Caenorhabditis elegans: one gene and its partner. The protein of the gene in region 1 interacts with the protein of each later gene in a pairwise test. Each region holds a gene or a part of one and is shown on either strand. Other genes may lie near its edges.

Region 1 (5,383 bases):
TATCTCTCATCTTAATTTGTTTTTTTTGTTTTGAGTTTAATTTCTGAGAGACTACTGTACGTACTTAATATGTACAGCCAAATATGGAGCGACATCAAGTGACATCAACCGGCTCTGTGTTTTCTCTGAATATAAACTTGATAGTAGAATGTCATCATACCATTTAATTTTTCATTAAATAAAAATAATTAATTCTTCTAAAACCTTATTGTTGAGTCTGAACTGGACTATGAATTTTACGAGACTGTATAATATATTTATAATTCCGCTCATGGCTCATTTTTGGCATAAACTTGGTAATGTAAACGTTTTGTGATTTGAAAAAACCCTATACTTCATACCACAAACTACTCTAACAAGTGTTCATACTTTTATGTCTCAAGCTCTTTCAAACAAATCGCACTTTTGTTCCAAATTTCTTCTCATTTTCGTCTCGGTCTTCTTATCATCCCATCCCCCTCCCCTTTTCGTTGATAATCAGCAACGCGCACTCGCTTTACTACAAACACGTCCAATACCTGCGCCTCCTCAAAATCATCCCTATATCATTCCGAGAGCTCCCCCGGCTCTCGGGAGCTCAAGAGGAGATGGCCATGAAGTGCGAGAAGGCTTCCCGCGCCGGGAAGAGCGAGAGAATGTCAGAGTTCGAGCGAGAGGATGTGCTCACGCCCGCGCGTGCCGTACACCGTTGGGCCTGAAGCTTTATCCGCACAGACCTCAGAACAGCAGAACCCCCACCTCCGCAACACAACACCAAGTTGATTTTTTGGAATTTTTTTTTGGAACTCAACCGTCTTAATTTATACATTAGTTCTGTATACTTCTAGACTTGATACAATGCAATTTCAACCTAAAATTGAAGATGTAATCTGAAATCACCCATCTCATATAAGAAAACAATGTTTAAAACTACTTTTTAGATTATGAACGGCAATCTACCAATGCCTAAGGTTGGCACGGTTTTTTTTGAATAAAACTTGTACTCTGCAATTCGATAAATGTATTTAGGATCATGTAAGATTGTTTTTTGCCAACATTTTAGCTCACATACGATAGATCTCTAGGAAGTTTAGTTCAGAACGTCATTCGTGGTATTTTGTGTTTATAATTATTTTTTACTTCAAAGCAAGTAGCATTACCAGATTGTTCAAATAGTTCTTTTTTGGTTGGTTTGTAGGACTTTAATACTAATGTTCAAGTTGCAAACGGAGATACAGGACTTCATGTTAAAAATCGTTAGCTTTGTTGTTATAAAACTTTATGTTATAAAACTTTCATAAGTTTATGTAGATTGGCCTACAAAAAGTATCACCTCTTTAAAAGTTTAAAAAATGTTACTGGCAGTTAGAAATAAAACTACAAAACTGGGGTAATATACGGTGTTCATTATGAAACACACTGATTATGAAAAAAAAATTGGAAAAAACTAAAATTTCAATTATTGGGTGTGGTATCGTTTTTTAAACGTAGTTTAAAACTATATGTTCCGTTAAACGATAAGAGTTCCATAAAAAAAATTAACTGTCAATCACGAATGACTCATCGAATCAGAAAACTCGTTATGCTCAGTTTCATAATTTCAATTGAATTTCTTTATTAATTTTAAATAAAACATCTTACTTTTTCAACAATCTTTTTTTTTCTGTTGTAGTCATTCACTACCATTTCCCCCGTCAAATTGCCCGACAGTCGATAAATATACAAAATCCAGCATAATCTCACTCTCCCTTCTTTTACTCTTATTTTCTATTTTGCACTATACGGAAAACAATACGATTTTTTTGTTTTCAATTTTTAATTAAAAGTAAAAATTCAAAATGTCAAAATGTTTGCAAAATTTTTCATCTATAAACGCCACGTGGTTATTGAAGATTTCGTGTAACTATTGGACTGAAACGTTTGCGCTTTAGCAAATAACTGCGTTTGAAGTGGTACACATTTGAAACAAAATGAATATTTTCGGTTGGACAATATTTTTTTAAACATGTTCTACTAAATTCTGTTTGAAACTTTGATTTATTTTTATTTGTTTCGCTCTATTTTATTGACCAGGACACAATAAAATTTCAGGTAGTCAAATCAAGATGGAACGTGTGACCGTTCGAATGGCTCGTTCGGATCGCCGAACTCCATGGGGGTTCGGTGTGACAGAAGCCCCAGATGGAGCTGTTCTTATTGTTAATGTAAGCTCTTTATTATAAATTTAGTATAAGTGTCCCCCTATTTGTCATAAAGTAGTTTGTCAGTTTGTCCAAATTGAATCACAATAAAATTTGTCGTAAAAATTAGTCTTGAGGCATATGTTTTCGTATACATTTAATACAAAAACCAAGAAAACCCATCACATTCACTTTTAGCACCTCTAGGTTCTTACCGCGATCTCAAAAATCACCGCATCACCACAACTGATTTACAATCTCATCGCCTTCCTCACTTTCTCTCGCAGTTTTATCCTCTGGACATGCCCAGGGAAAATCGGAAGAGCAACACAAAAAACATCACTTATTACAATAAGTTAGATGCTTTCAAAATTTCTCTCAAAACTCATAGACAAAATGTAGTGAGAGATTAGTCGTTAACGTAAGAAAAAATGAATTTGAAAAATTGACATGCGTTGGGGGATTTTTTAAAGCAAAGGGAGCCTTCAATTCAAACAAGTTGAATATCGAATAAAAGTTGAAAATTTCAGGTAATAGGTGGTAGCTTAGCTGATCGTGCCGGTCTTCGTAATGGAGATGTTGTTGATCGTTTGGAAGATCTTGACAATTTGGACATAAACGCTGTTGATAGACTTCTAGTTACAGCTCATGAGAAGATTGAACTTATTGTTACCAGGTAACTCATCTCGTTAAACACTTCAAATTTATCAGTATAGCACCAATTATTCAAAATTTGTGTCGACCACAATAAATAAAAATTATATATAAACAGAGCAGGTGTGTGAAAATAATAAGAAAGACATAATTTTCTCGAATATTTCCCCTAAATCGATCCCTTGAAAATGTACACAACCCTAGTTATGTAATCTGTAGCTTTGTTATCACAACGCAATTCAAAGTAGGTTACTTACCAGTTTGTATTTCCGTTTATTAACCAGTCAAAGTGTTCTCCGTTTTAATCACATCACCAATGTATCCTACCTTTCCGTTTTTAATCCGTCTGCGTCTTAGTTTATCTCCAACAGCAAGTGCTTCATGCAATAGAATATAGATATCCAAAATTTTCGAAGCGAACACCCGCCATATAAACAGGCGAACAGATAAGAATCAGGCCAATCGGTACGGGGGAAGCAGAAGGCAACATTCTTCCGAATATCTCGTTGCAGGAAGAAGGAGGGACTTAGGATTTATACATACATATTCCGTTTGATGACAAATCGTTGCAACTGTTTTGAACTGTTTTGAAACGGTCAAATGTCCCAATCAATGTTTTCTTTAGCTTTGCAACAGCTTTGCAACACAAGTTTTGCTCCTCTTATAAGCACTCTAATGTCATTAAATTTGAAGCTCGTTACCTTTTTCCCTCAAAAATCATTCTGTGTTGATAGTTTTAACAAGCTTCAGATATTTTTGCCCCTTTAAACTTATTTTTGAGCACTTTTTACATAAGCAACTGCAAAAAAAGTTGCATGGAAAAATGTTATAGAATTGCCAAAAATAACTGCCACAGCATTCAAGATTCTTTCCAAAACTGCTGTATAGTTTTAAGAAATACCAAAACAAAACAGTTTGACAATTATTATTATTTTGGCTTTTACTTTTCCCGAATTCGCATAATTTTCTCCTGAATGTTATGTTTTACTTTGAACAGTTGAATTTTAAATAAATAGGGTTTTAATGATGAGTCAGTTCATGACAAAGCAATGTACTTCTGACACTGTTCTTTTTATTTCATTCTCTGTTGTTGTATCAGAGTGTTCCAACAATTTATTCACCCTCTCGCACACAAAAACTGAGAGAATGAAATTGTTGAATACTTCCTCTCACATATTTCCCTTTTCCAGGTGTTTATCATTTTTGAACAAAAAAACTTGCAAGTTTCCTTTTTCTTTACGTTTACCCATTTTCCTATAAATATATTTCATGTTCAATTGAAATGATTTAAGATTCAAAAGTGATGGTGAGAATCACAACGACGCCAAGACCATGGTAATTTGAAATTTAATCGAAGAGATTAAATAGAAAATAAATAAATTTTGATTTCATTCATATCAAATAAGTTTAATTTCAGGCAACCATCCGGTGCAGCCACCAGAATTTGGCGTCCAGAAGTAACTGAAAATACTGGACCAGGACAGGATCAAACCCCATATCGTGTCAATTTGCAGCATAGCAGTGATGTGAGTCATTTGAGTTTTGTTTTGAAATAGGAAGCTTCACACAAAATCGTTATTTGTAATCGTTTTTAACGACAATAGCATAACATTTTTTAAAATTTCTAATAAATAGTGAATAATAAATTATTTTTAGACCCGTCCACCACAAGGTTTCAACAATTCAGCACTTCCTTTTGAAACAGATCAACGTGTGAAACATATGCAATACAATTCTCCATTGGGAATTTATTCCGATAAGTCTGCAGCTGAGCAATATGTTCAACAAACTCAAGGATTGGGAGATAATTCAGGGTGAGTGTTTTTTACATGACTAAATTTTTGAAAGAGCACTTATAGTTCAATTTGGCCAGAAAATATAGTATAAATTTAGTTCGGAAGTTGGCCTATATTTTACAAAAAAATTTCTTGAGACAAGTCATGGCCAAGCTTTGTTCACCCTTTACCAACTTCTGAACAAAATTCTTAGGTTTGGGGCAGTTGGGTCAGAAGTGGCGGTCGAATTCCGAGTCTCATAAATTAATCCAAAAATTACAAGACGTTAACGCTTTTTATCATTCAATTTCAAGAAACGAAAAACAAATTAAATGTATTTAAAATCCACGACGGCTTCTCATTTCTCTGAAAGCTGCAGTGAGGTTATCGATGAACAAAAGCTCGCGTTTCTTGCGCGGAAGGTAGTCTCCCTGAAAATTGATATTCTTTATCATAACAATTCAATCGAAATTACCGTGTCGAAACCTCCGGCGACAGCAGCTTTTCCTGCATCATCTGTAGCATCAGTTTTAGCCTTGCAGTCCTCTGGAAGATGTGGCATGACAAGTGCCTTGGCTTGCTTTCCATAAACTTTTGCCAAGTTTTTAACCGCTGCCTTGTCAGCATCATCAAGTGACTCGAATTTGGATTTAAGCTGGAAAATGTAGGATAATTTAGATTGTGAAAAAACTAGGTCTTTTTCTAATTTCCCTCACCTCCGCAGAAATTTCTTGATGACTCTTGAATAAGTTTCCTTGTTCAAAATCGCTGATTACTTCTCCAGCCAATTCTTTT
Region 2 (5,411 bases), on another chromosome or scaffold:
GTTGGTCACGTCGGGTCAGGTTGCTATTCGAAAGAATTTCTTCTAGCTGGGTGTATACTGTGGTTATATTAGAAGCCACGGCTTCAACGTTCTTGCTCACAGCTTCTTTTTGTTCTTGAATTTTCTTTGTCCAAGCGTTAAATTCGTCCTAAAAATCAAATGTGTCTCAAACTTAAAGGACGGTAGTACTTACCGTCACATTGAATGCCTTGGCCCAGATTGTGAGCTGCTCATTTTGCTGATCTTGAGAGAGTTGATCGTTACTAACAATGTCGAAGAACTCTTTTCTAGCAAATCTAGGCACATGCATCAAGAATCTAGGGAACAATGGTCCATCGGGAGATGGACGTTGAGCTTGTTGCCCACCAAATTCTAGTTCCGATGAGTCTTCGGAAAGCTGCGCCAAACAAGGGATAAGTAGTGCGGAGAGCACAATGAGCAACCTCATCGTTTGCTGGAAAATCTAGAAGTTACGGCGACCAAAGAAAAATTTGAGGAAAAGGGAAAATTAAACGGTTTCTTTCTCAAAGTTCCCAGTTGACTCCTTAAATACTTTAGGCCTAGTCTACCTGATCGCGATGTGTGTTCCTTTGAGCACACACGGTCATTTTTTCCTACAACGTTAGAAAGTAAACTTCTGCGTGCGCGCGCGCAAGCACGGAGCCAGAGAAAAACAGTCTCACTACCTAAGAAAGCCGATCATGGGGTCACTAACCTGGAAAATAGTTGAGCATTTGTGGAGGGTAACGAGGCAATCAACAAACAACCTGGCTTTCTCCTTCCGCATTTGAGATCCGCATCAATTTAGTTAAGGGGGAGGGAGGAAAGAGAGAAAGTTCAAATTTTGTAGTTTTTCAAAAATCGTGTAAATACAATTAACTTTAGGGAACTTTTAGAAGAAAGTGCAACTTACGACAAAAAAATCACAGTGATCAGCGCCAGATTGCGTCGCGAGAAACGTTTATTTTACAAAATCATTAGGCTCTGTATAAGTGACTCATTATTTTAAACTTATTTGTTGGTCTCAATATACTTTTCTCTTACAGGTTATCACAAATGCTAACATGCCATATATCTCCACGAGAATTCCGGATCCCCGCCGGAACCTAGCCGGAGACTTCCCAAGTGAGCATAGCAAGTCGAAGATCAAACTTGATCCGCTCGAGCAACGTCGGTTCAGAGTAAGCCGTACTTTTGAAGACTGAAATAAAATTTTATATCATGTTCAGAGCAGTGAATCGCGTCCAATCACCACCAGCAACTATCTCGCCGAGAGTGTCGATCGCCATCGTGAGATGGAAGCATCCCGGCTCAGAGAGTATTTGAAGGTGATTTTAATTTAATAAAGTCATGAAATTATAAAATTAAACGTTCTAGGCAAAGGAAAACGAAGCCAATCAGCCATGGAACAAACCAGGGTGGCCTGGACCAAAGAAGAATGATGAGAGCCTGAGGGAGCTTGAAACCATGAAACAGGTGAGCATGCATAGCACTGCATGAAAAGTATAGTTAAAAAGTAATTCGGAGTTCCGCATAAATCTAGGTATTCAAATAGTTAAATTAGAAAATATAAGGAAAATTTGGCAATACATCACAAATGTATTACACAAAGCCTACAAGTGATGACCAACAAACTTTGTCGAACCCTTGAAAAAAAAAATTTATTTTAAGATTGTTAAATACATTTTCAAAAATCGACCCGATTACCCAGTTGACAAAATTAAGAGATGTCATTGGTTTAGGGTTACCTTATTCACACTAGAACATTTTTTATAATTTTGTTTCCAGAGAATCGAGACGCTGAAAAGAGTAAGTCTATATCCCCTTTCTTGCATGTTTGTTTGTCTTCCTGTTTGTCCTTATGTGCATGTTATACTGTGTTGTCCCTCCTTTAAAAAAGATATCCCTGGCTTGGAAACGACAACACATGGATCCTCCTACTACCTACTGACCAACTTCCCTGAAACTACACGGTGTGGTGTGAAGCGTAATAGTGTGTAGAGAGCCGTCAGCCGAAATTCAGAAAACTTCCCAATCGATGAGCGATTTGTCAGTCTTGCCTACGCCGTCACAATTCGAGCAGCTAAATCCGGTGAGTAGACGGGGATGTTTTCGGGTACTCCAGGTTTTCAAAACGGAGCATTCGTTGAACAATAAATGAGTTTTCAGCAACCTCAAGCTTCTCCAATATCTCCGGGAGATTCTGGATGGCTGATCAAAATGCGCAAAAATCGATATTTGGATCACACCTCAAAGGTGAATGAGCCTAAGAAGTACAGATCAATGGACCAGCTTCCGACTGGAAAAGTAAGCCCCTGTCTATACTCTCAACCCAAAAAATCTCAACTAATGAGATCCACCAAAAAATTTGCGTCCTGCGCTCTACGCCAAATCGAATAGTGTCTCTGCCGAAGAGTTTTCTCTCGCTTAACACATCTCTCCTTCGATCGAATAGAAGCCTCTTGAAACTTCCGCCGACGCACACACAAACTGTATGTGTGGCTGCTGGAGGCTCTGCGCGGCGAGAGAGGGGGCTTGACGGATAGAATTTGAAACTCTTTTCTTTTCCTCTTTACTCCTCCTTCATTTTTATGAGGATTTTCCTTTTTTTTGAAATTTTTTTTAATGAGTAGGTTTTTTTTAGAGGTTTTCAGGTTAAAGTTGTAGGAATTTTTTGTTTCTTGTTAAAAATGATGCATAACGAGACTAAGGCTTAGTCGTAGTTTAAGGCTCAGACTTAGGGTGCAGTGTAATCCGTTTAAGCCTAACTATAAGATAAACATTATTCTTAGGTGTAGGTATAAGCATAGGCTTAGGCTCAGACTTAGGCGTATGTATAAGCTTAGACTTAGGCCTATGTTTAGGCGTAGGTATATGCTTAGGTTTAAGCTTAGGATTGTACTTAGAATTATGTTTAGGCTCAAACTTAGGTTTTGTCTTGATCATACAGTCTTAAGATCAAAATGAAAGGAAAAGTGTTCATTGCATATATTCCTTTTTAGTTAACTTTCAGTTTTTTTTCAAAATTGTTATTGCCTAAAAATAAGACTAAAATTCAGTATTGGTTGAGGTTTTTAATTTCTTGGTGACAAAAAAAAAACGAACTAATCTAGTTTGATATTCCAAAATAATCATGTTCGACCATCATATGTTATTTCCTTTTCCATATTTGATGCTTTATTTTTTTTTTAGAAAATCCTATTGACTTTGAACCTTCATTGCTTCCTTATCTTCACTCTATCTCTTACCGCAATCATAAATTGTTTGTTTCGAAGTTTGTTCGGAGCAGCAGTAGCAGGCGCCCGCGCTCGCGCACCTCCCACAATAATTGTCGGTGTATGCGTGGGGGTGATGCTTTGACTGTTGAATCAGTAATCCGAAATAAAAACAAAGCAATTTTCGAATTGAACAACATTGAAACAAATTGCCTAAAATACAAACAGTTTTGATTACAGGTTGGTGCACCCGACAACGAGAAGTCGGAAGGTACAGATCCGCTGCACTGGCAACTGAGGAAAGACTTCCATTTGGCTAAGTATTCGGTATGTTTTAGTTGGTAACAATTTTGAATATCTGAAAAATTGTAAATTAAGGATCTAGTGAACCAATGTATCAAACCATTAGAATTACAACGATCAGACTTACCTAGTAAATAGTCATCTCCAAAAGGAGTATCTTCAAAGCTAAAAAATGTCCAAGTCGAGAAATAGGTTAATTAATTACAACTTTAGCAAGTCTTGAAGTCCAATTCATAGCTTAAAACATAAGGATCTACCCCGAATTCTATTTTTTTACTGCATAGGAGTTCTACAACGACCCAGGAGATCTTATAAAATTATAGTACTCTCTGGAGCTGTTTTTAAGGCCTAATAACTTTTCTATGCCACCACTATGTATTATATGAAAGTGAAATAAATATCGAAAATTCTACTTTAGTTTGTTAAAATTCACTTCAACTTCTGAAAAGATTATATTAGTGTAACAAACGCACTTGGAGTCAGAATGTCTCAATTCAGTTTGATCTTCAAAAAATGCGGGAGGTAAGACACAGACATCTGATTTTTTTGTATGATTGAGCGTGCTGACACCACAATTTTTTTGGGAAAAAATTCCCGCATTTTTCGTAGACCACACTGTAATGGGAGAGCCTGACACCACCTGCAAACGTATTCCTAAACATTTACAGAAATTCGTTAAATCCCAGTCATCTCCACACATAGATGTATTTATCATTTCTCTGCAGTAGTTCTTAACCGTCATGCGTTCCGCGTCGTTCTTATGTTCCGCGCACCGGGGAAACACGCATTTGACCCGAATAGTGTGCTCATGGTGATAAGTGTTCATGCTCGTGCGTGCCTTAACCTCCTCCTCCCCTGTGTTGCTCCTGGCGCTTTTTGCTTCGTTTTGTCTTTCTCTCCACTATCCCTCGTTTTTAACATACGAAACAAGAAAGACAAACACATTCGTCAAAATCCTAGGAGTTCCCGGGTGCGTCTCTCCGACCTCTCACTAAGTCTCTGGCTCCCCATTATCCTCAAAAGCACTGTGTTTTTTTTCATTATTAGGTGCCAGAATCTAGGTTCAATCTTTTCAATTCTATTTCAATTTTTAAATTTGATGGTTGCAACCAAATGTTTCTCGGCGGAACAGCTTTAACATACCTATTGTTTCAAAAACTTTTGTGGTCAATAGACATAACTCTGAGCGCAAGGCACCCATCTCTAATCACTGTTGCTTCTGTTTGCTGGGCGGGTGAGAAAAATGTCCAACATTGTGTTGTACTTCTTTTTCAAAACCATTCTTTTTCATCGTTACACCAGCACTCTCGTTTCCTGCGTTTCTCACAATTTTGGGATTCTCTGTTTATTCGAGTACATACCGTAGTGGTCGGCTCTCGCTGCTCAACACTTCATTTTTTGCCCTCGAAAAGAGTTTTTTTGGAAAGTTGCAAATTCAAAAATCACGGAGATATTGTTTTGTTAACTTTTATTGGCGAAATCGATTTTTAAAAAAAATTCTCTAACAAGATACCTTTTCAAAATTAAAAAGTGTCCATCATTGAAATGATCTCATCTTTGACCAAATCTATAATTTTTATATTTATAGTTACTCTATTTTCTTTTCTCCCACTGAGATCTCGTCTTGCCTTATTGAAAAATCCTAGAGAATTATATAGAAAAGTTACTGACAATTAGGCTTCCATCCAAATATGTCCTCAACCAACGACGACAATACCGAACCGCCGTACTCGACAGTCAGGCAGTTACGAGCAGAATATCTGGCTCGAGTGGCGTCATCCTCCACGTCATCTCGATCGCATTCTTCGCGTCCACCACGCCGGGGCACGGTTTTTGGGACAAAACCTACTATCAGTTTGCCATACATTCCAGAAGTTGAAGAGGTCTAGAATT

The links.
Region 2: the proteins of alp-1 (region 1) and pat-12 interact in a two-hybrid assay, tested with the Caenorhabditis elegans proteins (2 studies listed by BioGRID).

The regions. Positions count from the first base shown.
Region 1 is NC_003282.8:8,850,430-8,855,812, forward strand, and holds the start of alp-1 (PDZ and LIM domain protein Zasp), read left to right. Parts: upstream 1-2,070; 5' UTR 2,071-2,084; coding exon 2,085-2,183; intron 2,184-2,689; coding exon 2,690-2,835; intron 2,836-4,100; exon of another isoform or gene 4,101-4,116; coding exon of another isoform or gene 4,117-4,148; intron 4,149-4,230; coding exon 4,231-4,339; intron 4,340-4,469; coding exon 4,470-4,627; intron 4,628-4,866; exon of another isoform or gene 4,867-4,926; coding exon of another isoform or gene 4,927-5,019; intron 5,020-5,063; coding exon of another isoform or gene 5,064-5,243; intron 5,244-5,304; coding exon of another isoform or gene 5,305-5,383. Other genes in the region: T11B7.5 (uncharacterized protein), read right to left, coding at 4,927-5,019, 5,064-5,243, 5,305-5,383.
Region 2 is NC_003281.10:735,725-741,135, reverse strand, and holds the start of pat-12 (Protein pat-12), read left to right. Parts: upstream 1-2,157; coding exon 2,158-2,307; intron 2,308-3,455; coding exon 3,456-3,542; intron 3,543-5,411. Other genes in the region: idpp-1 (SXP/RAL-2 family protein Ani s 5-like cation-binding domain-containing protein), read right to left, coding at 1-148, 194-448.